Oryza sativa Japonica Group: one gene and its partners. The protein of the gene in region 2 binds, or shares a complex with, the protein of the main gene of each other region. Links are inferred from orthologs where the notes say so. Each region holds a gene or a part of one and is shown on either strand. Other genes may lie near its edges.

What was found.
Region 1: pheophytinase, chloroplastic (region 2) and chlorophyll(ide) b reductase NOL, chloroplastic share a complex: the UniProt entries of both Arabidopsis thaliana proteins name them as parts of the SGR1-CCE-LHCII complex. The link is inferred for Oryza sativa Japonica Group from reciprocal best matches to the Arabidopsis thaliana genes PPH and NOL.
Region 3: pheophytinase, chloroplastic (region 2) and 7-hydroxymethyl chlorophyll a reductase, chloroplastic-like share a complex: the UniProt entries of both Arabidopsis thaliana proteins name them as parts of the SGR1-CCE-LHCII complex. The link is inferred for Oryza sativa Japonica Group from reciprocal best matches to the Arabidopsis thaliana genes PPH and HCAR.
Region 4: pheophytinase, chloroplastic (region 2) and probable chlorophyll(ide) b reductase NYC1, chloroplastic share a complex: the UniProt entries of both Arabidopsis thaliana proteins name them as parts of the SGR1-CCE-LHCII complex. The link is inferred for Oryza sativa Japonica Group from reciprocal best matches to the Arabidopsis thaliana genes PPH and NYC1.
Region 5: pheophytinase, chloroplastic (region 2) and red chlorophyll catabolite reductase 1, chloroplastic share a complex: the UniProt entries of both Arabidopsis thaliana proteins name them as parts of the SGR1-CCE-LHCII complex. The link is inferred for Oryza sativa Japonica Group from reciprocal best matches to the Arabidopsis thaliana genes PPH and ACD2.

Annotation. Positions count from the first base shown.
Region 1 is NC_089037.1:26,385,140-26,389,728, forward strand, and holds the end of chlorophyll(ide) b reductase NOL, chloroplastic, read right to left. Parts: coding exon 4,556-4,589; intron 4,458-4,555; coding exon 4,409-4,457; intron 4,310-4,408; coding exon 4,224-4,309; intron 3,784-4,223; coding exon 3,726-3,783; intron 3,300-3,725; coding exon 3,249-3,299; intron 3,049-3,248; coding exon 2,998-3,048; intron 2,914-2,997; coding exon 2,872-2,913; intron 2,354-2,871; coding exon of another isoform or gene 2,291-2,353; intron 2,209-2,290; coding exon 2,098-2,208; intron 2,003-2,097; coding exon 1,955-2,002; 3' UTR 1,593-1,954; downstream 1-1,592. Other genes in the region: myb family transcription factor PHL12-like, read right to left, coding at 72-163, 300-385, 499-673. UniProt on the Arabidopsis thaliana protein: Required for chlorophyll b degradation. Chlorophyll b, chlorophyllide b, pheophorbide b and pheophytin b can be used as substrates. Belongs to the chlorophyll catabolic enzymes (CCEs).
Region 2 is NC_089040.1:14,710,063-14,716,065, reverse strand, and holds the start of pheophytinase, chloroplastic, read right to left. Parts: upstream 3,968-6,003; 5' UTR 3,755-3,967; intron 3,410-3,754; 5' UTR 3,382-3,409; coding exon 2,731-3,381; intron 2,303-2,730; coding exon 2,076-2,302; intron 1,529-2,075; coding exon 1,337-1,528; intron 1,256-1,336; coding exon 1,099-1,255; intron 437-1,098; coding exon of another isoform or gene 383-436; exon of another isoform or gene 171-382; intron 1-170. UniProt on the Arabidopsis thaliana protein: Alpha/beta hydrolase dephytylating specifically the Mg-free chlorophyll pigment (pheophytin), yielding pheophorbide. No activity on chlorophyll. Belongs to the chlorophyll catabolic enzymes (CCEs).
Region 3 is NC_089038.1:14,942,888-14,948,979, reverse strand, and holds the start of 7-hydroxymethyl chlorophyll a reductase, chloroplastic-like, read right to left. Parts: upstream 3,660-6,092; 5' UTR 3,562-3,659; intron 2,497-3,561; 5' UTR 2,479-2,496; coding exon 2,170-2,478; intron 2,090-2,169; coding exon 1,981-2,089; intron 1,897-1,980; coding exon 1,812-1,896; intron 1,716-1,811; coding exon 1,674-1,715; intron 1,338-1,673; coding exon 1,259-1,337; intron 832-1,258; coding exon 780-831; intron 700-779; coding exon 637-699; intron 535-636; coding exon 437-534; intron 257-436; coding exon 221-256; intron 84-220; coding exon 22-83; intron 1-21. UniProt on the Arabidopsis thaliana protein: Probable iron-sulfur flavoprotein that converts 7-hydroxymethyl chlorophyll a to chlorophyll a using ferredoxin as a reducing equivalent. Catalyzes the reduction of a hydroxymethyl group to a methyl group. Belongs to the chlorophyll catabolic enzymes (CCEs).
Region 4 is NC_089035.1:7,036,723-7,042,563, reverse strand, and holds the end of probable chlorophyll(ide) b reductase NYC1, chloroplastic, read right to left. Parts: intron 5,670-5,841; coding exon 5,595-5,669; intron 5,481-5,594; coding exon 5,285-5,480; intron 5,099-5,284; coding exon 5,030-5,098; intron 4,879-5,029; coding exon 4,739-4,878; intron 4,569-4,738; coding exon 4,446-4,568; intron 3,604-4,445; coding exon 3,411-3,603; intron 2,122-3,410; coding exon 1,936-2,121; 3' UTR 1,383-1,935; downstream 1-1,382. UniProt on the Arabidopsis thaliana protein: Involved in chlorophyll b degradation. Belongs to the chlorophyll catabolic enzymes (CCEs).
Region 5 is NC_089044.1:13,536,391-13,542,375, forward strand, and holds red chlorophyll catabolite reductase 1, chloroplastic, read right to left. Parts: upstream 3,384-5,985; 5' UTR 3,284-3,383; coding exon 2,912-3,283; intron 2,175-2,911; coding exon 1,557-2,174; 3' UTR 1,412-1,556; downstream 1-1,411. UniProt on the Arabidopsis thaliana protein: Catalyzes the key reaction of chlorophyll catabolism, porphyrin macrocycle cleavage of pheophorbide a (pheide a) to a primary fluorescent catabolite (pFCC).

The DNA of each region.
Region 1 (4,589 bases), on a different chromosome or scaffold from region 2:
ATCTTTTTGAAAGAGAAAAAATGCCATGCAGCATGTGAATTCCACAATCTAGTTTCCTCAAACAACCATACAGATCAAGTGCTTCCTTGCTTGGAGAAGTGGTTCTCAGCAGATCATGATCATGAAGAGACCCAACACCTGAACTGAAACTCTCCCTGTACTTCTGAAAAACAAAAGAAATCAATAGCACGAACAATCAAGATGCATCAAGATCTTGTGCAGCAGAACGAGAATGATAATAGAGAGAAAGAATTATCAAAATATCTGATAAAAAGCTCTGCAACATGGCAGGAGGGTACCTGGAGGTGACTCTTGATGTTGTGGGTCGTAAGGCTTGTGACACCCATAGCTTGCATTGTCTCCTTCACTGCAGTTGGTTTAGCTTCTGAAGATTGCAACAAATGTATAACACGGCATCAGTTTTTTTTAACAATAACATGGCATCAGTTCCATCAACGAGTATTTTGAGATCAAGCAGTGAATAACAAACAGTTTTACCATAGGGACCTCCATGGTAGGCCACAGCCTCCACAAACATCTTATGGAGATCATCAGACCATCGAAGGTAACTCCTTGTTGGCTGCATAGCCCGGATAAGGCGAGAAACCAGAATGCTCGACATGCAATCATCCTCTTGTGCTGGCTGGCTGTTGGACATTATTCTGTAAATCATACTCAGAGCACTTCAGTAAATATAAAAGACATAAAGCCTGTTTGGATTGTGTATTTGTGTAATCAAACAAGACAGATTCATTAAATTGTCAGTATGGAGTAAATGTGAGGATGTGCCCTTATGGTAAGGGAAAACATTTCCAAATAGAAATGTGAGAGATCAAACATGAGTACCGATGTTTTAAAATCCTATTTAGAAATCAAGAATGCATTAGATCAGAATAAGAGAAACCAGAACTTAATACAAATACTAGTACCAATGTATATGATGAAGAAAAAGGAATTGAGACTGTGCCGTCTATTTTTAGGGAGAAGAGTGAGATGGCATTCCAACCTTGAAAGGATATCACCCCTTTTATATAGTTCTTCCTATCACTACACTGCCTATGGAAGGGACATTCTACATTTTGTCTAGCACATCGGTCATCACAGTTGGTGTACATGGAAGGAAAGGTAGGCAGAGAAGTACAAGATTTCAAAATGGTAAGATAACAAAATGAATGATTATCTCATATTAAGCATGGAGTATAACAGGGTGCTCTTTTCGCAGCACATGCGGCCTCTGCCCAATACATGAATGGAAGGGCATCATAGATCATGCAAAATCATGAACGTGATAAAGAAAGAAGCACAGAACTGCAAATATAAATTAGGTACAAAATGAATGTTGAGGTTAACTTATCAGGCAAGCTGGATGTTTATGATGTGAACAAAGTCCTATCCTGCCAACACCTAGCAGCAGCATGGCAGCATGACCTTGTCTTGTCATTGTGATGTCATCTGCACATTTTTCCAATCAAGAAAATATAGAATTACAGAAAATCAATCATCCATACTAGGTGCCTAAATTTTGACACTGCAAAACGTTGTCCATCCTTCAAATTGAAACTGGAAAAGTAGGGAACAACTCCAAAAGATCTGGAACTGGAAGTACTATCGAAAATTAGTTCAATCATACATGTATTTGCACAGATGTATCATGAGGTGCTCTTTACATGGAAGATGAAACATACATAAATGCAACTCTTGTCAAACTTGTATTCTAGGTATGGTTGGAAATTTTGTAGAACAGTAGAGATCACAAGGATGATAAGAAGTGCATCACATGAGCAGCAACTGAATTAGTGTATAATCAAATTGCTGATATTATACATAGGAGTACATCACCTTCTTGAAATGCCATCGGTAATACATGCTATTTTACAAAGAATGTAATTACAAGAGAGAACAAGAAAATGTCCCTAGTTCTCTTCAGGGTTGTAAGATGGCAGCAAAACGGACACTAATCCTCAGCAACATACTTGTTCCTACGAGCACCAAAAGCAATCCTCTGCAAGTGAAATCAGGGACAATGGTTATTCAACACAGTGGAATTGACAGTAGTTGAGGATGTCAAATAATAACAAAATACAGTGGAGATCTTACTGAAAATATTCTGGAGTAGGCTTTCAAGCCTGTGAGAAAACGGATGTAGGTTGGTTTCATGGACTGGTTAGTAGGTATTGCTCTGATGTTTGGAACGAGATAATCCGCAACCTATCATAATTCATAATAAAGTTATAAAAAAATATATTTTGGACCTTACAGCTAACTAGAAGACTCAACGAGTGTACATTACCATCAATAACATGTAAGGCAGGTAAATTGGATCACTCATAGATATATCCCGTGTTACATGAACCTGGATGTCATTGGTGGTATAAAGCACTGCCCATGTCATGTAAAGCTTTTCAACTTTTTAAGTTCAATCGAGCTAACGTATTGAACTATAAACAACTAGTTTTTTTATGTGTCCTATGAAAATATTAGATGGCCACATTTGTTCTGATCAAAACAACTGAAGCTGTGCGAATAATTGTTTTGCACTGAAATTAATAAATACTAAGGGTATGCATGTGTTTCATGACAGATGTAAAGGTATGCATGATCAACGAGGTATTCATTAGCATGTTTGAACATTGATAATGCAAGTAAATACGTCAGGTTTAACTTAACCCATCGATAAAGAATTGTCTCATGATTTTCATGAACATATAACCAGGTCCAGAGATCATGTTCAAGCTATTTGGTTAGATATTTCAAGCTATTTGGCTTGCAGTAGCTAAATCATGTTTGCTACTTCAGTCTTCAGCCATATGGAAACTAGAACAAGAAACAACGATATGCTGGGGAAAAAAGAAATCAAGATGGAGCTCTTACCACATTAGCAGGTTCAGCTAATATATTGATGAAAAATTTGGCCTGCCATCAGTATAAATCCAGAATTTAATAACGATGAACTATCTTGTCAACAATTGTTAAAAGGAGACCATGTGGATCACTCACCTGCTTTGTTGTGGCACCAGACATAAGAAGATCTGTTGTAACCATGCCAGGCTGCACAGATTAATATGTACTCGGTATAATTATTCTTGCATCATTATTAATCGATTATACAAGAAGAATGCAACCAATTAACTTGCAGAGATGCATGATTCAAAGCTTACAGGAACTAATTTGCTAAACTACTCCAGTGTTTAATCATCTAGTTAAGTCTAAAGTAGTAAGACACCAGGAAAAAGGTTGGAGTTATGTACCGACAAATTGTGCACCATAACATTGTTCACTTCATTCATCTGCAACTCGGCCTGCAATTAGAATCAAATTATTTTCTTCCTGCAAATTCTAATAAACAAGAATTCCAGAAGGACAAAAAAAAGAGGAAATGAAAACCTACATTGCGAGTTCTCCAGAAAAATCGTTCCATTTAAGAAGGGAAGGGTCTGAACCTCAAGACTCAAGTCCAAGGATTATATGGATGATTACAGCTTTATGTTTTTTTTTTCAAATTATTAATGAGTATTGAGTAACTATTTGATAATCACAGCTTTATTGTTCTGGATACTGAGAAATGGTGGTAATCAATATTGCATCATAGTTGTGATGTCACAATGCAGTTAACAATTTATATGAAGTTACAATGCCACAAATAGTGGACTATGAATAAATGCTACACTGGATATGTTCTGATCAAAACAAAATGATATGAGGTTATATCCTCACATAACCTTTACCTGCAGAGATTTTGTAAGGTGCACCACACTTCTCTTCGTTGCACCATATGCAGCAAACCTAGTCATTATCAATAATAATCAGTGTCTATTTCTGAAAGGATATTAAGTTATTAAGTAGTATCCTGGTGTAACCACAAAAGCACTAGTTACCAAAATATAATTATATTTAATATCGCTTGATACCCCCAACCCCCCAACGCGCGCGCGCGGGGGCCACCGCAGTGGTGTAATTTTTTCATTTGGTTGAAACTACTGATAACAGTACAGTATATGTCTATATGGAAGCCAAATTCAGCACAGAAACTTATGAGGCACAGTTATGTGGAATCATAGGTACTCTCCTATTAGCAATTAGCAATAAACTAAAAGGACATAATACATGATGTGAAATTTCATAGCTTCATACTGTATGAGAATTCAAACATAATGATATAATGATTGAATTGCACATTGAGTGTCTACATTTTACTACAGAACAGAACAAATGGAAATGCATACCTTGGGGTTGGCCTTCCATCAGAACCAGCACCATCGATGTTAAATATGTGGCCACCTCGAGGTTGGTTTCTCATCATATTTATTGCCTAAGATGGCAAGATGGCAAGAAGATGAATATTTGGAAAATGAATCTTCACAGTTGTTGTAATGAAATTCAGAAAGCTAGTATGAGTTGAAAGAAATACCTCACGACAACATATCATTAATCCAAGAGTGTTAGTTGTGATCACTTCCCTATTAAATCAAAGAAAGAGTGGAGTTTGAATATAGCTTGAAAGCACAATTGAATGTATTTGGTCAAGCCATAAATAAAAAGACAGCATGAAAATTACATGAGAGCCTCGTCGGAGGTCTCGACCAACGGTT
Region 2 (6,003 bases):
AGAACATGTCTTGCCACTTTTTTTCGCCGGGAAGGCCAAAGGAGGCCATCCGAATGCATTAAGGAGAAAAAGTTACAAGAAAAAACACAACAGAAAGCTGTCGAGGACGGATGCGCACCACAGGGCACGTCCTAAAACCACACGCTAACCACAAAAGCACAAACCACTGAGTGAAGCCTAGCACCAAAACGACCCTCGCTATGCGTGGCTGATCGCCGCTAGGCCCACGACAACACCACAAAGACGAGACTTCGAAAACGATGCCACCACGGAGGTCACGCCATCAAGGACGGCACCATCGCCCACCTTCTAACAAAGATGTGGTTTTCACCTAGAGAAAACTTGCCGAGGAAGAGAGGTACCCTCGCACCGCCCCAAGGGGTTACGATGCCTGAAGGCGCCCAGTGATCCACCAGGCAAGGCTTTTTCCTGGAACCTACAACCTCAACCATATAATGTCTTGTAACTTCAAAGGAGAAAACTAGGGAACTTAAACACACTCAACCATAAAAAAATTAGTGCCCCAAGGTGTCTTTGTATCAAATGCATGCTACAGAATTAAACAAAAACTGCAGAAAAAATGTTAAGCTTACAAATGGTACAATCCATATTCATTGCCCTAGCAGAAAATCCTATCATGAGGAATTCGCAAACAGTTGTGATTCTTGGGCTTCCCTGGTACCCCACCTAAAGATAGCATCTGACAACCTGTTGTGCTGATCCAGATCTGATTCCACTAATAGCATTTAGCTTCTAAGATACAGCTGCCTATCTTTGTAGAAACTCATAGCTAAGGCTGCAGTCCCATATAATGGCCATTGGTTGTATACCGAAATTTCTAGATTTAAATAGAGATTTCAAATGTTGGTCAAAACAAACTAGATACTGATACAAATTTCCTCCAGTTTTTGTTCCATAGTTTCTTATGTGTAATCAACATGGATGATATTCAGAGAACATGACCTTTCTTAAACACACACAGCCCACCAGCCACAGTATCCACCCAAAACAGAATGCACGGCTACAAAATGAACTATCAACTATCTGGTACAAACTAAATATGACGAGCTTTATTTCCAAACACAATGAATGTTTTACCTCAGGAACCTCATCATGAGGGCAGTGACCAGCAGGACTGATTTCGTAATACGGTGATTCTGGCACCTGCTGTTTCACTTTAATACCCCAAATAGGTCTAACCCAAGGATCTTCTCTCCCATACATAAGAGATATGGGAATACCCTGCCTTTGGCACCTGCAGATTATGAAATGTAAAAATACAAAATCGTATTTTGTAAGCAACATGGCAATTCATCAAATAGTATATCCAGTTTACCTAGATAGAGCTTCTTCGAAGGATATTTGTCCCTTTGGAGCACACATAATGGATGCAAATGATGCAGCAGCTGCTGGATGTTGTGTTGTCTCTATAATACGCGAGAACACCATGTCCACATTCGTTGAGTGGTCAGCATATACTTGCTTGAGTATGCCCTGTATACTTCTTGGATCACTTATTTTCTGCCACCTGCACCAAAAAGATATTAAATGAGATCCACCAAATTTATATCACCACATGGATAACTTGCATAGTTCTAAATGATGCAGGGACCACACAATTGCTATTGAATAACAGCTTGTTTAATCTGTTAAAACACCAATACATTGCACAGCCTACCATCCTAACATGAGAGAGGAATGACAATGTAAAAGGAAAAATAATGGCAGAAAATGACATACAGAAATATACTTTATATCTAGGTGTGATTTTATAAAAAAACACGTTTTTTTTTTGAAAAAACAATTATTAGCTATACTTATAGTACCATATGCAAACTAAACATAGTCTAAATCGTTTCTTCACTGGTGAAGTATGCAATCAATTTCTGTCAAAACAAAAGGTAGCAATCTACAGATGCTATGCCTTGCTACAAGTATCATAAAACTTTTGCATTCCATGCATTCATTATAATGAAAAAAAATAGTACACCAATAATTAGCAGAAGGGATAAATTTAAGATTATTCAATATCAATATGCACATGTGTTTCCCAAAACCTAAAGGGTAGCACATACACTGTTTCAGTAAGTTTCCTCACAAACGATGGAAGTGGAAATGTCCCAGCCCATGGAAAAATCTTCGACAAGCGAGGAGATGTAGCAGGGTTGGGAAGGAATCCCCAAAATGGGGTTGCATTAAGTAATGTGACACCCTTTACAAGGTGTGGACAGGATGCAGCAAGATATAGAGAAACAAAACCTCCCAGAGAGTTCCCCACAATATATACTGGTTCACCAATAACCTGAAAGAAGGTTACAAAATTAGCATAAGAAACATATGATATGAATCTCATGGTAGGACTGTTATGGATAAGTAAACTTAAGAACTTTGGCATTACACATAATAACACAAATGTCAAACCTGCTATATGAGATTGGGAACAGGGCTCCTTTGCTCTCTATTCTAGATACTGGAATAAAAGAATGTGTTACAAGTGTGTGTGCCAAAAAACAGGGCACCTGCTTTGGGCAACATAACGGTTCTTATATTCTATTAACCGAATATGAAACGCTGAAGTTTGTGAGATTCAAGAATCTTCAATAACTAATAAATAGCTATTATTGCAGGCCCTTCAAAGAGTGCAAAGCATACTAGGATTTGTGAACTAAAGATGATATTTTTTTAGCAAAGTAAACATAAAACTACACAGAAAATAGTTGAAAGAAGTACCTCTTCAATAAAATGCTGAACTTGGTCACGCCACAAATCTATCGAATACACCAACTCCTCCGCCCATGGTTGTAATTCTTGTCCAAAACCCCAATATGTGTCCTCATCTAGCTCTCCTGATGTGCTCTTAGGAGCAGGATCTTCACATGGCAACGACATGCCCTGCCCTAGAAAATCCATTGTCCATACTTTGTAATCACGGCCAAGATCCTTCAATTGCTTCTCAAAATGGAACGTTCCCACTCCAAAACCTGGTAGAAAGAGCACAGACGGTGCCTTGCTATTGTCTATGCCAGACTTTTCATAATATACACTCAGCTTCGGCTTCCATTCCCAGAAACCAGTACTAATTAGAGAGCTTTCAGGTCCTTCTGGCAAGCTCGGAATGATCATCTTCTCGATCTCACCGACTTTCTTCGGGATCCCTTGGAGAGCTGCATCGACATCACTTACATAGAACCCATGGCTCGCATGAACTTTCCCAGAATCAGCAGGATTCGAAGCTGTCCCTGACCGCACACAAAGAATTGCACTTCTTGGCCGAGTGAGCTTTGCATGCCCTGGACCAAGACCATTCCCCGGAAACCTCCAAGCACTGCTAGGTGTTCGGTTAAATGCCAAGCAGGAGTGGCTGGAAGAAACCACTTCCATGGCCACACTAGTGGCTAGCACGCTAGTTCTGCAACAGATAAACCGAAAGATACGTTTAAAAGAGCGAACTCGAAAAACTGAAACCAAGAACTATCAGCCTTCAGATTAATTTGATCGGGAGAACCGAAACCAAAATTTTAACTGTATCAAACAGATGGGTTAAGTTCTCGAGAATAAAACTAATCTACACAGCGAAAATGAGCTTCGACCAGCCAGCAAACCAATTCCAAATCCAGCAATTCATGCGAAACCCGGGAACTGTTCCCCGCACGAGTAGTACACACATGCCAGGGAGTCCCCAGGAAGAAAAAAAGACATAGCAAACACCTAATTACAGATTACTCTCTCCTAGTGAGAAATCGGTGAATCATACCTGAAAATCGACACCTATTTCTCAGGTGATTTGGAGAAGAACACTTCGCAAAAACTAAACTAGTAGAACTGCGAGCTCAGAACGGAGAGGGAGCGGGCAGCTGAGCTCGCTTATAGGGCGCGAGATGCGATGGGGAGGGGCGGAGGTGGGAACCACCGCGCAGCGAGACGGTTCCTCCGGCGACCTCGTGGTCTCGCTTGCCCATGCGTGCACGTCATCCTCGGGTGGACGAGAGGAGTGGAGGAGGCGAGCCCAACGCTGCGCGGGGGCCAGCACGTGGACATCGTCCACCGTGAGCCAGCGAGCCAAGGCCAAGATCCGCCTCCACCCGGTCTGCCGGACTAGCGTAAGCACGTGTCGAACTCGGGCTTCGAGACAATGATGGAACTACTATGGAGGAAGGGGCAGGCCCGGTCGGTTCGTTTGTTGTGCGGCCTGGTAGTTAGGAGAGGTTTGCAAGCAAACGCGCGGAAAATGACCGGGATTTTGGCCGTTTTGCGGAGAATTCCAGGTATTGACGGCAGCGCGTTTACTACGCGATGCACATTGGGTAGTATTGGATATTTTGCAGACTCGTCGTACGAATTCAGAGCCATTTTATCGGGGAGAGAAACGCGTGGTAAAATTCGAGTATTTGCTTCCGTGCTCCCGACGGGTAGAAGGAATTGAGCCATGTTATCTAGCGAATATAGCGGAGGAGAATTGCAGCCGTCTAAAAAAATGAAAGCTTCCAGATGGAGGAAAAAAAAGAAGGAAGAAGAGAGAAATTATTAAATCCCATGAATAAGACTATCAGATTTGACGTCGTAAGTGTTGGGTACGCTCAGATATCCACCACCTTAGCACCAACCGATCCAGAGGACAGATGTTGTTGGACCTACTTCTCTGCTTAGATCTGGGTGTCCCGACGCTTGCCATGCCATCCATGTGTAAGAAGAGATGGCGGTGGTAGAGAGCAAGGAGAAGAGGTCGAATCGGGCCATTTGATTAGCTACAACATCATGTGGTTTTAGCTAAAGTTATTAGGAGGCTTAAGCCATGTTTAGAAACATTAGTACACTATTGGGATAATTAATGCTTCATCTATAATTAATTATGGCCATTTAATAATAGCTCACAATGATTAATCATTATTAGTTAATTAATCTTAACAACTAAAACCATATTCATGGTAGGTTGTGAGCATATGGTTTTGATGGTCGTGCTCATGACAATTAAGGACTGGTTCACGAGCTACTATTGTGAAGCACTAATTGTACTAACCACAAGCCAACATGGGTAATAGCTAGGTTTGTAGTATAATACATTCAACAGGAGACACCAAGGTATGTTGTTGTTCTTTTATCGTGGCAGACAATAAGTCCACAAGTGGTAGGCAATTAAGTGCTGGGTTTGTGGTATGCTTTCTCATTCATTCATTGTCTCAAGTGTACAATAGTGAGACTCCTCCCTCTATTTATAGGCATAACCATAAGTTCCTTTCCATATTAGTGAGTGGGGCAATTACTAATTGGGCTAGGCCTTCATGGGCCGGAGGTTTCCTTGTCAAAACTCTAGAAAAACCCAGTTGAAAAAAATTTGGAGAAAGAGTACATAACATACGCTTGCGATGCTGCACGAATTGCCTCAAAGACCAGGCCTGTAAGGATTGGGATTACTATTTCTACGGGCAACTATATGATTGACAAGGAGAGTAGTCCCAACACTTGCATTCAAAATGGCATTTTGATCAGTGCGTGGGAGATCACATATCGGCTAGGGAATGTTGGCTGCGAATGGCGGTTGGTCGGTTACCACTTGGGCTACGCGCTCCTCATGATCCCATCAAAGAGAGGAACATAAGAGAGGTTACAAGGTTAATGTCGAGAAGCAATTCAAGTTTTTTCAAGTTAGAAGACTTCGAATTGTATATCTCGACACGATAGCCGCTTTACATCTTGAGCCCCCATGTACTCATAGGAGGGGTGGAGATGAACTTGCGGGGGCAGAATCCGACGACGTACATAATCTTGGACAATTTTGTACCCGGTCAGACCACGTACTCAGAGGTCATTGATCTTCTCGATGAAGCTTTCTAAGGCTAGCGTCAAGAAGGGTTTTGAGGTCTACGATTTGGAATGCGTGGGTTTATCTTTAGGAACAGTCAGGCAGGGACATAGTTATCATAATTGGACCGGACCGGCAATTGGACCGGAAAAAACCGGAACCAGAGCCTCAGGTCTGGTCCAGTTAAAAGACTGGCTATGCAA
Region 3 (6,092 bases), on a different chromosome or scaffold from region 2:
TATATGACGGGCAAATATTACCTGTAGCATGATGGGGCAATAACATCAACAAGGTCCTTTGCTGGCAGGCAAAAATAGGGAACCTGATTTAAGGTAGTAAATGATTATTTTAGAAGAATCAGTGATGTAAATGATTATTTTAGAAGAATCAGTGATGTAAATGATTATTTTAAAAGAATCAGTGATGCACAAGAAAAGAAAAAAGAAAAATAAGCTTTGCCTCTTCAATATGTCCATCCAAGTGCTTTAAGTGAACCTGCAAATACGCTGAGTTATACAACAGTCATGAATCAAAATTTTGGAAGCAACAACATGGTTATATTGTTGATTCAATAAGTTTTTCTCTATGTCCTAAAACTGCCTGTTGAACTGTTGACTTCTAAACAGTATGTCAAAAATAAGAGAAAATAGAGTACTAATTATTCCAAAGTTTTACCTTGTAGTCCTGCATAAATTCATAATGCAGTACAGTCTCTGGTTCACTGCTTGCAGCCTTCAAAAACTTGTCAAGTCCTTCACGGGTACCATTGTCCACTGTGAATATTTACTGTAAGCCAACGTTCAAATATATCCTCCGTGCAACACAGTAATTACAAATTTCAAGATCAACTAATTCAGTTATCAGTTAGTAGTTACCACAGTTTGTCCCGAGCACATAAAGCTTTTCCAAACCAAGATACTTCTCAACTGATCTCAAAGCTGTTGCCACATTGGATAATTATGAGATACAACACATTGTCACCACTAGAAATAGAAGAATGTTTGGGCAAGGTAAACACCTTGCACTTGACAACCCACACCACAGAAGAGAAGACGCTTCACACCAGCTGCCTGTCAAAGGATAGCATGAAACTGAGGTTTTGACAGAGTTAGTCAGGAAGATAGAGTATGGACCAACTATCATGTCATATTGTCATCATATCATTATGGTCTTGATTGTAGAATCTAATAGCCTAAATTGGACTTTGTTTTGCCTTTAGAGTCACTACTGGAATGACATTAAGTAAAATTTGATCTTGTAGGTTGAATAGAACAACATTAGTTCTGATTCCTTTGAAACCAAACTAAATTCGAATTGCCTAGAAAGGGGATGAGGTAAAAATGCTCTGGAAAAAATGACTCCAAGTTCATGTCCAAGGCAAAAGATATCTGCCGTAATCACCCATATGCCTGTATAGGTTTTGAAGGGCAGGGGACAAGACACAGGAGCTAGTGACCCAAAAAAAGGATGCATAGTGTGCACAAGAGATAGATTTACCTCAACCAACGCAAGCGTATTGAGATTAGGTGATAATGTTGGCTTCACACCTTTGGCTGCAATAACTTCATCTGGCGTCCTACGAGATAATAGTTGATCAATCAAATTTTGCTTCAATTCTAGCAAGCATGAGCAGCACAAGTAGTTAATCAGTAGACTGGAAGCAAGGTTTTTACTTTTGAGTGATTCTATGGTCCTTGAGGAGATACCGAGAGGTACCTCATCTTCTATCACAGATATTGGGAAGTGCCAAAATTTATACTACAAAATGTGGTATCTCATGTTACCTCCTCATGGACCATAAAACCATATAAGTGTAAAATGCAAATGTACTTTAAGTAAGAAGTTGTAAGCACAAGCCATATGAAAAAAAAAAAAATCTGAAGTAGCAAGCAACCATTGTCTTAGTACCTACCTGGCTAAAACAGGCATTGGAGCAAGCCTGTCATCTGGGTCACTGCAGAGGAGACAAACAACAGTTTTCTCAAGACCATGAAAAAAATCCTTTTGCAACGGAAAGCAATTATGTAATATTTGATTGTTGTTTAGGTGCCTTTGTACACAAACCACAGCATCAACCATATTTGCCTTTAGCATCTCAACCGCAATCGTTGTCACTATTCCTGTCCATTGGGCTCCTGCACAAATTACTTGGCCATTAATTAGCATATATGTAACCACAATCTTGTGGCCTAGAAAAAAATGGTGGATAAGGAGCAAACCTTCAACAGGTTTCATCTTCCTGGCATATAGGAGTTGCTCATACACTCCGAAGTACATCTCATCCATGTCTTGCTTCCTGCCCCTCCCATGGACCAATGGCTCCAAATCCTACTTAAATGTGATTTGGTAAGCTAGCTAGCTTGAAAGAAATAACGCATGCATGAAGGAAGGAAAGACTAGCATGATACCTCGACACGGGACATGCCATCTCCTAGGAATGCGCAGGCATTCTTGACATGCGCAATGTAGTAGGTGTCACAAAGCCCACATTGGCTGCAGTGGTCCTTGGCTGGGTAGACGCCACCAGGAGGGATGGCCTTGGATCTCTCCCTCCAATCCTCCCGCAGCGCCCTAATTGACCCGCAACTCGTTTTCCTACCTCGGCATTGATGAGAGGACGGAGACGAGGGTAAGACAGAGGACACTGAGCAGCAGGGCGGTTTTGTGGCACATGGCAAGGACGAGGAGGTAGACAGGAAGGAGATGCACCGCGCCATGGATATTGAATAGTCAGCCTGCATGTGAAATTCACGTGGAAATATGATAATCTACCGAATGAATTAATCTACAGAATGAATTAACAACCTGCATAAAAGTACTAAACATTTTTCAAGTGTGACTTTCTAAAATTACAATGATGCACGCTACCATATAATTATTTCTAATCCTGTAGGGCAAAGGATTTTTTTTTTTGGATGAAAATAGGAGAAAGGAACTTCTACCAATGCAAGTGAATATCTGTCTCATTCCTCTTCCTCAGGCTCAGATTCTCCCCACCCACACCATCTTTCCCACCCTCAGTCCTCTCCTCTACCGCTGCACCCACTCCACCGACATACCACCCTCGCATCTTAACAGCACCATAGTCATCTAAAACCACCACTGTCTGTATATATATGATGCTATGAAGTAACCTACTTTCTTCTTCTTGTTGCTATATAGAAGGGATGAAAAAAAGAAAAACGCTCATTTAACTGGCTAGGTAGCTATTCAATCTTCCCAAGTGCTGTATGGAAGATCTTGTGTTAACTCCCTATTTATTCTCTAGTATAAGTCGCGTAGATGCTGCCCGAAACTCACCTAAGCCATCAAACAAGTTTGCATCTAACCTGAATCGATGGCTGGCATTCATCTACAAATCTACGATGTCCCATACGGGGTACTTGTCGCCCTATTTCAAGTGACATGCAACAGATGCACAGTGCATTGCCTAAACCAAGAAAATCTATTTTGGTGGATAATATATATGGGAAATCTCATCCTTACAAGCACCATCATACGTTCTTATATAGTTATACGGTCCATAAACCATATCATCAACCAGTGGTTCAACATATCAGCTCCAGGTACCCTAGGTACCAGCCGTGCTAACGCTAGAGCCAGGGGCGGATCCAACTTGGGAATTTTGGGGGAACAAACAAACAAACTGTTACTACTTGTATTAAGAGAGGCTAAGGCTCTGAAATTAACGAGGAGAAGAGAGCTTCTTCCAGATCTAGAAGAGAAGCTAGGGTTAACGAACGAACGCAAGCAAATTCCAGTCCCGGTGGGAGAGAGAGATGAATCAGAAAGAGGCTCACCAGGATCCCCTCCCCTCCCCTGCTCTGCTCTGCTCGTCACCTCCCCTCCCCTGTTCAGCCGCGACTCGTCTTGGCGCAACGAGCGGAGGAGACGAGACGGGAGATTCTTTCTTTTACGCTACCTTTATCTCAACATTTTTCCTTATGATGACGAGTGGGCCACGTATTAGCAATACTATGAAAAAAAAATAAATTACTCAACTCGATTAGGGATTATGTCGAGAACAAACTCTTCGTACCACCAGCAATTACTAAGGCCCCGTTTGGCACAGCTCTACCTCCCAACTTCAACTTATCTGGAGCTGGAGCTGTGCCAAACGGTCCAAATCCTCCGTTTTTCAGAGCAGAGTTAACAGAGCTACTCCACAAATTTGTACTAGGGGTGGAGCTGAGTTTTTGCTACTCTACAGCTCCACTTCACCCCAAAAGACCCACTACCCTTTAATTTTTAGCCTATTTTCACAAAAATGCCACCCAACTACCCCTCCACACCTCCTCTCCCCCATTCTCTCTCATCCTCCCATCCCCCTCCCGATCTGCATCGGCGGGTGGCGGCGACTGCGTCGGCAGCGTTGGCAGGAGCCAGCGGCAGCGGGCGAGCGTCGACGGCGAGTGGCGGGCGACGACAGCGTGGGCGGCAGCGGTGACGACGAGTGGCGGGTGACGACAGCGTCTGCGGCACGGGCGACAGCGGCAGCGGGCGACAGTAGCAAAGACAACGTCAGCGGGGCGACGGCGAGCGACGGCTACATCGGCGGCGGCGGGCGACGGCAGCATCGGCGGCGGCCGGGACAACGACGGGCGGTGCGCCCGGGACGGCGCATGGGCGGTGCGTGGCCAGCGGTCGGCGGCGCGCCTGGGGATGGCCAGCGACTGGGTTTTCTTTTTTTATTATTATTTTTTTTATTTTTTTCAGATTTATAGCTGAAAGCTAGCCAAACACTTTTCAACAAGTCTCTAACTCCAATCAGAGCTAGCTCTCACTGGAGTTGGAGTTTAGAGTAAAAATAGGAGTTGGAGTTTGGAGCCCTACCAAACGGGGCCTAATTATCATTCCACGCATCGCCACCAACCGCTCTTTCTCCATAAGCCACTATCGTTCCTCCTCTTCGTCTTTGCATGCACAGTCGCACCCTCCAGTTACCGACATGTATTTTCTCCTCCCCCATCGTCATGCACACTATTATCACAGTTGCCATTGAGGTCAGGGTGTCGAGCTTACTAACTCAGGAGGCACGAGCCGACCCAACGAAGAGCGGAGACGCTAGATCCGTGCTCCTTCTTGCTGGAGCTAGTGGTTCCCTAACTATCGGAGGGAAAAAGAAAATAGAGAGAAAGAGAGTTAGTGTACATAGTGGTTGCTGAGTCACCAAACTTAGAGATGGATAGAATAGTCTGGCCCAATTTGAAATGTAAAGTTAGCCACTATGTAAGCGAAAAGAATGGTTAAAGTATGACATAAGATGAAAACTTTTAAGAATAAATTGTAATTTACTTTTTTTTTCTCTAGCACAGTTAAAGAAGAGTTGTCCATTACTGGATAGTCTCATGATAGCTAAGTATGGTTGGGCCGATGTAGTTAGCTATTACTAATAATCTCATGATATGTTGATACATGATGATACGGATAAATAGATTCAGGTAAAAAAAGATAAAAATAATACATCAATTTTGCTCAATAATAAAGCATTCGATTGTGGACTCATTTTCTCACTACATCATATACGATGACTATCAGTAGGTATTTTCGTAATTCTTTCGTATTGTTTTTTTTATTTTTTACATATATGTCAGTTTGGACTAATATTTTTCTCATAATTAAATAGATAATAAATCATTTATCTATATTTCTCCTATAAAATGTGAAAAGTGCATTGTATAATTCGAAAATTATATTATGTGTATGCAGTTTAATGTGTAAGATATGTACTTATAAGTATAAGATTTAGCTTTTTCTTAAAACGATACACCATAGTAGATAGGTAGTTAAGTGAACAACCATAAAAAATAGAGAATCCATTGTGTCACTGATTTTGGTCCCTGTTCTACAATATGTTACTGGGTTTGTCAAGTTCTAGTGCGCCATCGCATTTTGCTTAACTTCTATAATATACCATCGTCGTCTAGTTAGCCTCCATTATTACTGTACAATTTTATTATAATGACCAAAAAACTTCCAAATTTTGGTAAAAAGAATCAAAATATAATATTGTAAAACTTTTGAAGTTTGAAATGGGCAACTTCTCTGCCTAGTTTACAATATGATATTTCGGAATTTTCGGCCAAATTTTGGAAATTTTCGTCCCAGGGATATTTGGGTCCTAAGGACAAAATTATTATATTGTACTACAGGAGTCTAAATGGATGGCGATGGTATATTATAGAAGTTAAATACGATGGCATAATGTAGAACTTGACAAACTCAGTGGCATACTATAGAATGGGGACAAAGTTAGTGGCACACAATGGATTCTCTCTATAAAATAATCTAGGCAAATCGTTTCTTTATTTCATTGAAATAACAAAACATT
Region 4 (5,841 bases), on a different chromosome or scaffold from region 2:
GTGGCTTTGCTAGGTGAATTAAGGGTGTGTTTGGTTCCTAACCATACTTTGTTGTCATTTATCAATAAATATTGTCACACGGTCTAAGTTGAGGCGATTAAATTATTGGCCACACCTTAGTAAGTCTAAGAGAATCTTGTTACATTTTTCTAAGTCAATGACACGTGAGACTCAGTTTATTAGAAAAGAATCTTGTCATAGCTATGGCTACAACAAACAGCTGCTAATGGGATTAAATCTATCTAATCTTAGATGTAGTAAACAGCAGTGTGGCTCGCAACCAAACACCCTCTAAACATTGACATGCAAAACAAACGCCGCCGTGGCTGCTGCTGGTAGCAAGCTGCAATCAGAGGTCCAAGAGGAGTACTACTGTACCAGCCATGTTCACTGCCCGGCCAGGGCAGTCAACTTGTCTGTAGTTGGTTAATCCAATCAAAGTAGCAGCAGATTTAGTGAGATTTCAATCAGCTAAGCAATTGCAAGTAAATGCGTGTTAGTAAGGCAAAGTTTGCATGCATATTTTATTTTAACCCCAGTGCTTAAGCTGATGGAAAATTAAAGGGCATATATGGATAGATCAGTTCAACCTAAAACTATCCCCTAAAAAAAAAGTTCAACCTAAAACTTGACTAGTAGAGAAGAACGGGCAATGCACTTAGGGGCAGAGCTAGGTAGGAGAGAGGGGTGCCCAGAAACCTGGCCAAGAAAATTTTTTTAGCTATAGTTTTTCTATTTTTACTATATATGTACCTCCTTAATCCAAACTCAAATACTCATATTAGCTTAAACTTGATTTAAAGTAGAGTAAAGCAAGTGAATGGTACATCTCTCTATTTCGTTTTAGCTCCGCCCCTAAATTGTCTTATACTCCCAACGAACAATGCAGAAGAGACAGGATTGGTGACATTGGGGCCTCGGACTCAAGAAGGAAGCTTCCACCCTCCAACTAATGGAAGGTGCCATTGCTCAGCAGAAAAAAAGGGAGAAATCGACACCCAACTTCGGAAGTGCACGCTGCTATCAACTCTCGGAAAGAAGCCTCACGTCGTCTCCAGCTTGTAGTTCAGAAAAGTTGCCAACGCATGCTCCGGCTCGGCTGCTCATCAGCGTGTGCACTCTCCACTCACCATCAGATATTTTTCATGAAAAAAGCACTAGCCTGTATTTTACTTTTGGAAGAAAAGAAAGCCCCTTGCTCACAATGGCTCGCACACAGAAATCCGTACATTGTTTGTACGAGGTGAAGTGAACGTCCTGCTTCCCCATCAAGAAGAATCATCACTCTGCAAGGCTGCAGGTGCAACAAACTGCATAAATGATAGTAGTAGTATACCTTAATGCAACTTCTGAATCTCCCCTGTTGTGATCAAGAATTCAAATGGACAAAAACACAGGATTACTGTCTTACTGATAGCTTTGCTTTTAGCTTTGAAGAAGCTTTCCTTGTGATATATAACAGACTGATGAGTCATATATATACATAGCAGATGCTGGCTTGATTACTCTCACTTACTTTCAGTTCTATTGGTGGTTGCAACATACGGTGCAACCGTGCAACTGGAAGCGACGACCAGAGAATTACAGTCATCAAAACTACATTACTACATGCATGTACAGCAGATAACATTGTCCATCGAATCTGTTCGTGCTCAGTTTAGCTCAGATACACGTTTTTACAAGTCAGCTTACAAACAGTGGAATGCCCACACAACAAATGCTATTTACCCATTTTTACTGAGCACATGGTTAGCTTGACCTTAAATGGTGAGTGGCAGCTGATGCTTCTCACCGTTGGGCGTATGTACGCAGTAAGCTTTCTGGGTTCAATTTCCCCCCTTCATAAGTTTCGTGTGTCATATATCAGTACATAATAGAATCCCCGTACTGAAGAAAAATGGTGTGTGTAGCCATCTAGTTTGGCAACTCCTGGGATCATGTGCCTGGAAGAGGTCCACCTGAGCTGGAAAGAATTATGAATGCGCAGACGACAGAGAGCGAGAACACAGAAACCCATGTGTTTTCTGTGTACATCTCCATGGCATCTGTGAAAGAGAAGCGTGCTCGACTTTCAGCCCAATTACGGATTCTATCAGCCTCTGCTGCATATACTGCTCTTCCCTGCAATGTGCTTATGATCAGTCACACATTCACATGAATTAATCATCAGACTGAAAGTATTATGAACTGTGAAGTATGCATAAAGTCGCTTGGTATGCTGATCTCTCATTTGTAAGAATATAATATTCTTTTACTTCATCTGTTTGATTTTCAACCTTGCACATAGGATGATTGGAGCATTGTCCATCACAAAAGACACTGATGTATACAGCACTTTTCTTCAGTTATATTGTGAAAGATTCTGAAGGAACACAAACGTTATAATTAAATTATTACCCACTTCTCAGCATTTTTTTTTCTCAAATGTCATGTTTCCTAAATATCTTGCGAAAATAATACATGTGTTCATTCAGTTTTTCCATTAATAATTGTCAATCTAATGGTGAGAAGCTTCGACGGTACCAAAATTTGCAGGTGATTTTCTTTCCCAAAATCACAGCCAATAAACCAGTGAGATACCAAAAAAAACGTCAATATGTATACTTGTGCCCATTTCAGCCCCAAAATATTACTAGAGTGCAATCATTTGACGGGTGCAGTTGCTTTTTAAAACCCCTATCATTCTCTCCAGTTAAATCTGTTGCTGGATTTCATGTGGACTAGGTGAGATCCAGCAATACATGTGAGAATTAACTATGTCATATTTAACATGCAGTACAAACAATAGCACTGAGACTGTTGGACCGAGCTAAGCCATGGTGGAACCAGGTGTTTGAAGCCGCCATTGAGGGGAGGACCAGCCTAAGGCCTTCCAGAAGAGCTCTGGCCAACTAGCAGTAAAGGTGATGGACTGAGCTGGTCATAATGAACCTGGAAACTGAACCATCAAGACAGACCCTATTTATGGCTCTTACTTATGTAGAGACCTGACAGAACTGGACACTGGTCTCAAGCTTCATTATGATCTGACTCGCCTGGTTGATCCAGTCTTAGAACGAATACTGCTTATTTAGCATAATTTACAAGAAAATCACCACAGGCATAATTTGAATAGTCTATGTCCATTGTTCTTTATATTCAACAATGAGTTTCATATACATTTGGTGCAACGGTAGAAGAGCTTGGTACTCTTTCTCTAGAAATGTATATTTCACTATTTCAGAAGCATAATAGCTCAAAAGTCTTGAGGTTCAATATCATGAAAAGTGCATGCAAGATGCATAATAATGAAAACAACAATCATGTTTGCACGCATGGCTTCTGCAGGAATTCAGCATATTTCATATACTGGCATTGCTGAAATAAAAGGTAAAGCTGAAAAGTACTAGCTGCATAGAGAAGAAACATACCTCTTCATCAAACCATCGGCCTCGGCGAACCCATGCAGTAACCAAGGCAAGCAAGATCCTTGGTGGTGTCAAGTAGTTTATCGCCTTTCCACTTCCTTTCACAACTCGCATCCTCGGAACCAATGTCCTTGCAACTGTTTCTGGAAGCTCACATATTAAATTGAACATCTGTTTATTTCTCAGAGAAGAACCGCTGCAAAAGATAGAAGGATTATAAGTTAACTAAAGCAGTCTGCATAGTTGGGCATGTGGCAACAGAAGAGCTGACCAGATAAATATGGAAGAAGTGGCATGCACCATCAATTGAAGTTAAAAAACATATTATTCTCCGTATATAGTATTACCAATAAAAAATATTAATATGTTAGAACTTTCCAGTGCATTAGTCATTTGTAATAATTATATCTGGAAGTTATCTCACAAGTTATTTATATATTGACAGAAACTATGAAGCCTTACAAGTATAAAGTATGTGCAACATCACAACTTTGAACTGGATTTACAAGGCAGAGTATTTGCACAAGAATGGAACATTAATTCTTTCAGGTTCTGATTAACCGCCACGCACCCAGTTTACCGTGTCATCGGGATTATAGCAGATAGGAAAAGCCAGAGCTAGAAGTGTAGTAGCAAAAGCAACTTAATAATTAATGTGAAGCTGATTCTACAGAAATAGTTGCCACAAATCAAATCCTAGAAAGAAGAGATTGAAACAAAGAAGATTTGGGCAGCGAGGTATCTCAAAATTTTGACTCTTCCCCATTCAACAAAGGAGACATTCTGATTGTTGATTAACTAAAATAAATTCAAAATGAAGATAGCGTGAAATTCTGATTAACCAATATGTGTGGTTCCATAAAGATCCTACTGAAAACTTCTTATGCACTTGAAGTCTTATCTTGTTTTACTATCATCACACAAAGTGTGGTTTGGAGTTTGGACAACATGTGCACCAAGCAATAAATATATTGAAGTTCAGAATGAACTAAACAAGCAAATCATCAATAATTGCATCTAAATAACTTCAGAGGTTACCTCAAAAGGAGGTCCGTAAGGACCATTCCAGGAGAAGCAGTGTGTACACCAACTTTTGATCTTCTGCTTTCCTTCAGAAGTGATGCTTGAAACTGTCTAAGGCCACACTTAGTTGAACCATAACTGCAAGTTTGCAAAATAGTATCAGTTTTAGTTTCACTGCACAAGTAACAACATCAATACAATTATACTCGTTTTTAGCCAATGAAGAAACCACAAGACAATATCCCTGTCCAGTATAAGAGCTACACGAACAGTGGAGCATTAAAAATTTGAAATCATTAGGTACTTACACAGCTGTTAATGGTGTACTTGATCCTCCAGAACCTGCTCCATCCATGTTAAATACGTGACCTCCCTTTTGTTGGTGTTGCATGACATTCATGGCTTCTCTGGTGCACAGTAAAGAGCCAACTAGGTTTGTTGAGACAATCTGCAAACAGAAAAGGACACAATAATGTTGTTTAGGCTAAGCAGAAAGAAAAATAAGATGAAATAACTAAGTCAGGTTGCATGACGAATATAGTTCTATGAACTCTATTAGAATGGAAAAGACTCTGATTTTCCGAAGATAATTAACGTACCTGAGAAATATCTTCATCTGAAAAGTTTACCAGTGGCCTAAAACCTTTGTTTGTGCCAGCGTTATTTATCTATACATAAGAATAAGAAGAATAGCACATGTTAAGTACATTCTGCGATGCCACAGTACAGAACAAAATAAAAAGGTTATAAGTACAAAAACTTGTGCACTCAATCCAAGTATCCAACTGAGTACCCTACCGTGAAATAATGCAGAATAAATGATGGGGATAGATATGTAAAAGTAAATTATTTACCCAAATATCAATTGATCCAAGCTCATCCTTGGCAAAGTTCACCAACTTTTTCACATCTTCTGGTTTACAAACATCACATGATGTACCAACAACCTTGGCATGTAGCAAAATTTCTCTCTGTTTCTTTTTCGCAACTGACAAGCCCTCCTGTATGTTCTCTTCAAGCTCGTTGATGGTCTGAAGGACTGATTCAGGGCTGCCTTCAAAAAATAGGATATTTAAAACTAGGACAACGCATTGCATTTCATAAAAAGAATATCATGGATATGCAACAACAACACACATTGAGCTACATGTCTATGAGTACCACCTGCGTGAAGCAATTACAACACGATCTCCAGAAAGAAGGAACTCCCGAGCAAGTGCTTTCCCTAATCCTCTTGTGCTGCCAAAATCAAACTATAACTTCAATGTTGATTGCAGAACATGGATACTAATAAGAAATCAGCTCACAATTGATGCAATGAGAAGTCATGTTTATATTAACATGTTTATGAGGTTACTTTAATGATTTGTTCATATGACTGCACCTCATAATCTCCTCTATGCACCAACCC
Region 5 (5,985 bases), on a different chromosome or scaffold from region 2:
GAGGGAGCTGGAGGGGGTTACTCTAAATGGAGAGAGAGACATGGTGATTTGGCCTCATGACAAAAAGAAAATTTTCTCCACAAGATCTATGTATAGGGTGCTAAAATTTGGAGGGGTGGTAGATCAAGAAATCCAAGGGGTGTGGAGGTGCAAGATACCTCTAAAAATCATGCATTTCCTCTATATGACAGGGAGAAACAGGATTCCATGTACAGAGCAAGCTTTGTCTAGGGGAAGAAAGCACTACACATGTTTTATTTACTTGTCCCATTGCTAAATTTGCTTGGAGTGTAATTGCTATAGTTCTAAATTTGCATAATGTACCTATCTCTTTCTGGGATTGTATCAAGGTTGTAACCAAGAAAATGGGGTTTCAGGGGGGAATGGTGGTTTTTGCAGGAATGACCTGGGGTTTGTGGATTACCAGAAATAATTGGGTTTTTAACAATAAACTGATCAAATCACCTTTGCAGGTCGTGTACAGGTCTTTGTCTTTGATGCAAAGGTGGAAGGTGCTGCTAAAAGAAAAGGAGTGTACTAGCTTGGATGTCTTTCAAGCAAAGATAATGCTGACGTTGGAAGTGCTGAAGCCGACTGATAATCTTCCTGATGATATAGGATAGTTCATGGGAATGGGCTCTGAAAATATTTGGTCTTTTGTTGTGGGTGTTAAAATGTCTGGAAGGGGGCTAGGTTTAGTGGATGTCCAAGCTTTTGTTGAGCTGGTTTGGAAAACTGGAATCCCCAGTTTTTTGTTTCCTTTTGTTTCGTTTTTCTGTAAGAACTCTGTTTCGTTTGGGCTTTTTCTAAAGCCGGGTAATATATGCCTGTTGTCAAAAAAAAGATGCTGTTTTCTGTTTACATTTTTTCCTTTTGGCTTTGCCGTTCGAACTCTCCATTCTTGATACAATAATTGTGTATTTCAACCGAAAAGAGAAGGCAAAAACAACTCTCCAAAAAACTTGGAGTTTATGTTTTGTGCCATGTGTGCTTCTAGAGCTGCGAGTAGCTGTAGGGAGCCAGGATTAGTATGGCTGGTAGTTAGTGAATTTCTGATTGATAGCATTTCAATTTTGTCATAAACTGGTGCGTTGATCTATGAAATTAGGCAGTTAGATTCATCGCAAATTTTTAATGGGATGAGAATATGTAAACACGGTATGTAAAGTTATCCATTAACTAGTAATACATTTGTAAAATAAAATAATTGACTGTCCTTTCTCTTTAAGAAATTGAGGAAACCACCCGTGAAATCAGTTTACTGGTACTTATAAATTATATTATCTTTTTGGGCACTTTCTTTTAATGAGGGCATCGATGTATCTCTAGAGGAGGCCGAGATTTGGGTTGAAACGGCTAGAGTAAAAAATCGGCATGAAAACCAACACTACATTGGTTTGTATAATTGTATAGACAAAATTATGACATCTGATGGTATTTGCAATTATAAATTTATAATCACACAATATATCTGATTGTTCAAGCAAAAGGGACAAAAGACTACTAACATTACTTTCGAATGATGTACAGATGAATTCCTGGTCACAGTTCTAAAGCTAGGCCTCTTGTACCCCAAAGGCCTTCTGGATTTCAGCTATGACTCGGTCTGCGACATCGGGACCAAACATCCTCGGCAAATTTGAAGTCAGGTCGACCTCGATTGACTTGGACCTTACAATTTGGTCCCTCTTTATCATGTTTTCTCTCTCGCCTTCTTCCATCTCTGAAGTATGATCAGCACAACTATCAAGCCAAATTTGAAGAAGTGCCCTAGCAGCTGTTGCTAGTTGACCACGCACTATCTCTTCCAAGGTACCCTCTCCTCCTTGCCCACAGTCGATGCTCATCAGTATTGCTGTCAGTGAGAAGGTGCTGCGCACGAAGAGGGATCGCGATCGGTATGGACGGGCCTGCGGCAATTCTTCGACCTTCTCACGCTGTTTGTCCACCTGAGTATTCTCATAGTATCTCTCTATGTATTCGGGATGGAGCGCAAGGTCTTTCCGTGGGAGAAGGTCCAGAAGCACCACGATCGAAGTTGGGCTACCTTGTATAAATTCCATGAGGAAATGCGGAGCATCTGTCGAGGCGTTCAGAAAGATGAGAAGAGATGTAATGTCGATTGCGCCATTTGGGACTTTGCAGTGTAGTGAGGACTGGAGCATGAAATCAATCTGTAGACAAGAAAAATTAATAATTTAACTCCATTTGTCATTCCTTGCAGAACTCAAGAAATTCTACCACGCTAAGCTACTGAGCACTAGGGAGCATAATTCAGGTGTTCAAGTGGTGAGATTAGTTTCATAATTTGAATGCTGTTGATCATTTTGGCCACTCCAATTGTGTCCGTTCAGTTGGAGTGATTTTGTTTTTTTGTTTTTGGAGAGGAAACAAAATCTGTGAGTGATAGGAAGAATCACGAATGAGGTACAAACTCTAGAACAGACCAATTGTTTCCATTTCGATATTGGAAGCAAATGAACTAATTTGAGCATTGCCAATATAATGAAAAGTCATAATTTGCTCCGAAGAGTTGGATTATGGATCTTGGCTTCTAAAAGTTTGCAAGTTCACCTTGATAGGGCAAATCACAAATAGTTCGGCAGCAATTTTTCAGTGTAAAACAGTTTCAGTAAATTGTCCAAGTCTTTTGACATGCCATTGATCTATTCTGCTCTGTTTGTGCCAGCCTGTTTTTACCAGTTTACCACTACCATTTCACTACTTAATTAGTTAATTCATATGATTCACTACTTAATTCATATGACTGATTCTGATGGTGCTCTAGACATTACCAGTTTACCACTACCATTTCACTAATTCATATGACTGATTCTGATGTTCTCCAATCGACAGAACAGGTAAATCTGTACGATCTGACGAGCAAAAGTGAGAGGAGGGGTGCCATTACCGTCGATCCCGGCGCGCCGCGGCGCACGTCGAGCGAGCCCACGGCGTTCCCGGCGCCGCCGCCGCTGCGGAACTCGGCGACGTCGGGCGGCACGGCGGAGGGGAGCAGCCGCGCGCCCAGCCGCGCCTCCGCCAGGGACGCGAGCGCCCGCGCCACCTCCCGGTGCGCCACCTCCACCATCACCTCCGGCTCCGTCGCGCCCGGCGCCGCCGCCGACGACGCGCGCACGGCGCTCGACGTTTTGCCCCCGAGCTGGGAACCCGCGCCGCGGCGGCGGCGGCGGAGGGGGAGGAGGCGAGGAGCGAGGGTCGGGAAGGAGACGGCGGAGGACGGCGAGCTGGTCGCCGGCGGCGGCGAGCGGAGTTGGAGCATTGGATCACGGCGAGGTGTTCGACGCGTGGACGAACGGAGCGAGAGATGAATGTGAGCGAGAGGGAGTGAGAAGGATTCCGTGAACGTGTAGAACTATCCCTCTTTTACTTTTGTAACTAGTGCAGTATATACATAGGAGATGATTGAAAGAGAGATCTGAAAGCTGCTGTTACAAATCCATCAGATTCCAAGACATTATCTATTGCAATTTGCAAATGCCTTGTTTTTTTTACGGACACTGCATTACTGAAATGTGAGATAATGCCAATTGAGGTGGTATTTGGGAATCACAAAAATGACTAGTTTAGTCCCTCCTTCGCAAACACCACATGAGTTGGTTTTTTTCTTTTATACTTCCTCCGTTTCAGGTTATAAGACTTTCTAGCATTCCCTATATTCATATAAATGTTAATGAATCTAGACACATATATATCTAGATTTATTAACATATATATGAATGTGGGTAATGTTAGAAAATCTTATAATATAAAACGGAGGAAGTACCATGCTAATGACTGGGCAGCTCACCATGTAGCGCATAAGCTTGGGAACCGAGGTGATACTTATGCCCTATTCTTTTCTCCAATAAAAGTTGGATAAACTTTTGGATACTCGTGACACGTTTTTCAAACTGCTAAACGATACGTTTCGTGGGAAAACTTTTTATATGAAAGTTGTTCTAAAATATCATATTAATCCATTTTTCAAGTTTGTAATAATTAAAACTTAATTAATCATATATTATTACTACATCGTTTTGCGTGAAACACTTAATCTTCATCTTTATATTTATCTTCAGGAGATTAAACACACCACCTAAACCTTAATACACTTGAGGCCATCTGCTACTGCTGATCACTCACTGCTGTTGCTGCTTATCGCTCCATGGGCCAAGGCCCAAAGCTCACAAAAGGCCAGATGCTGCACACTAGCTTTCTTCCTCAGTCCACTAGCTCTTCATTTTCCTTTTTCCCCCCTCTAATTATTGTGGGGGCCATATTACTGAAGGAGAATTCGAAACATCTTGAATCTTCTCAGAGAGCTTGAGAGTGAAATGAGTGGGCCGGCCAAAGAAGACCACTATGGAAGTGAAAGGGGAGGGCAAGAGCGGTTCGAAGGTCAATGAAATGGGTTCAGTTCCCTTGTCAAATAGGGGCCCCGACCCATGTTCAATCACTGAAGTGTGGTTGAGTGAGATGATCCGCAACCAACAAATGATTTGTCATTGTCTCTAAATCACTGAATGAATTCGTTTTTTATTTATATATGAGAACTAGAGAGTTCACAACTCCCTTTTCATTTATTTTGATCACTTTTTAGTTTCTGCGAATACTTATCACTAAACGTTTAAAAGGTTAATAGGATCCACGCCAACTATAAATATGCCATTTCGGATAAATGCCACTACTATTCATGATATTGGTTACGTGCCACTGAAATTTGAGGAGTTAGAACTACACTATCACCGTTGCATTTCCCGTCAGACCCCTAGGCGTTAGACCCACATATCAGTTCCATCTTTCTCCATCCTCCCTCTTCTTTATTCCCTATCTCTTCCTCCATCTTCTACGACTGCTACAAGGGACATCGACGGCGGCGACCGAGCCCTCCCACTGCGGATGGGATAAGGTCGATGACGACAGTGGCTCCCAAGCCCTCCCACCGTGGATGGGGTTGAAGACGACAGCGTTGGCATCTCCTGAGCCCTCCCGCCACGGATGGGAGAAGATTGACAACGGCGGTGGTTCCCAAGCTCTCCTGCCGTGGATGGAGTCAAAGAAGATGGCGGTGGCAGCTCCCGAACTTTCCCGCCGCGGAGGTGGTCGACGACGGTGGCGGTGACGATGAGCGCCGGAGAGAGAGAGAGATAGGGGGTAGGGGAAAGAGAGGAGAGTGAAGGGAGGAGAAAAACCTGGAATTGACAGCTAGGTCCCACGTGCAATTGATGCTAACGAAAAGTTTTGATGGATATAGCGATAGAGTGACACGGTTCCGATTTCCCTAAATCCGAATGACACGTCATAGCCGATATTGTGAATAGTACTAATTTTTATCTAAAATTACATATTCGTAGTGATATGGATCCAAGTAATCATTTATCAAGGTAGCGTTTTGTCTCTAGTGGGGCCTAATAATAAGAAGATATTAGAACATGCCAAACAATTATCTATACTACTCCCAATCTTAAATTTCGGGTGTTTAGGTAAAAAAAATCAGCATCCAACAGTAGCACTATACAAACACTCCCGAAAAATCCTTATGCCTATATGCAGAAATCTAGCTCTCCGCAAGTTTGAAGAGGGTCTAGCTCCCAATCCCATCACCGAGCGAGTTTGCCTGCACCGAGAGGATGGCTCGTCCCATCAGAATAGAAAAAAGGATGCTGATTTAATTTTGTTTGGAAGTTTTGTAGTTGGGCCATTGTTTTTGTTGTTTTGAGAAGTTAAAATAGGCTATCTTGGAGGAGAGCATATTTTTTTTCTTAAATCTGATTAGAGATTCCCAAACAAAAGGTTTAGGGGATTATATTTTGATACTAAGTTGGTGATGCTCTTATGTGGCATATGTATTTAGAAACTTATAAATTATGTATACCACTTAATTTAGGGTTATTTTGGTCATTTTACCTAGAAAAAGGTGATTGTGTTGTTATGTGTGATGGTCAAAAGTGAAAGGTAGATAAAAATGGAGGGAGTATTTTA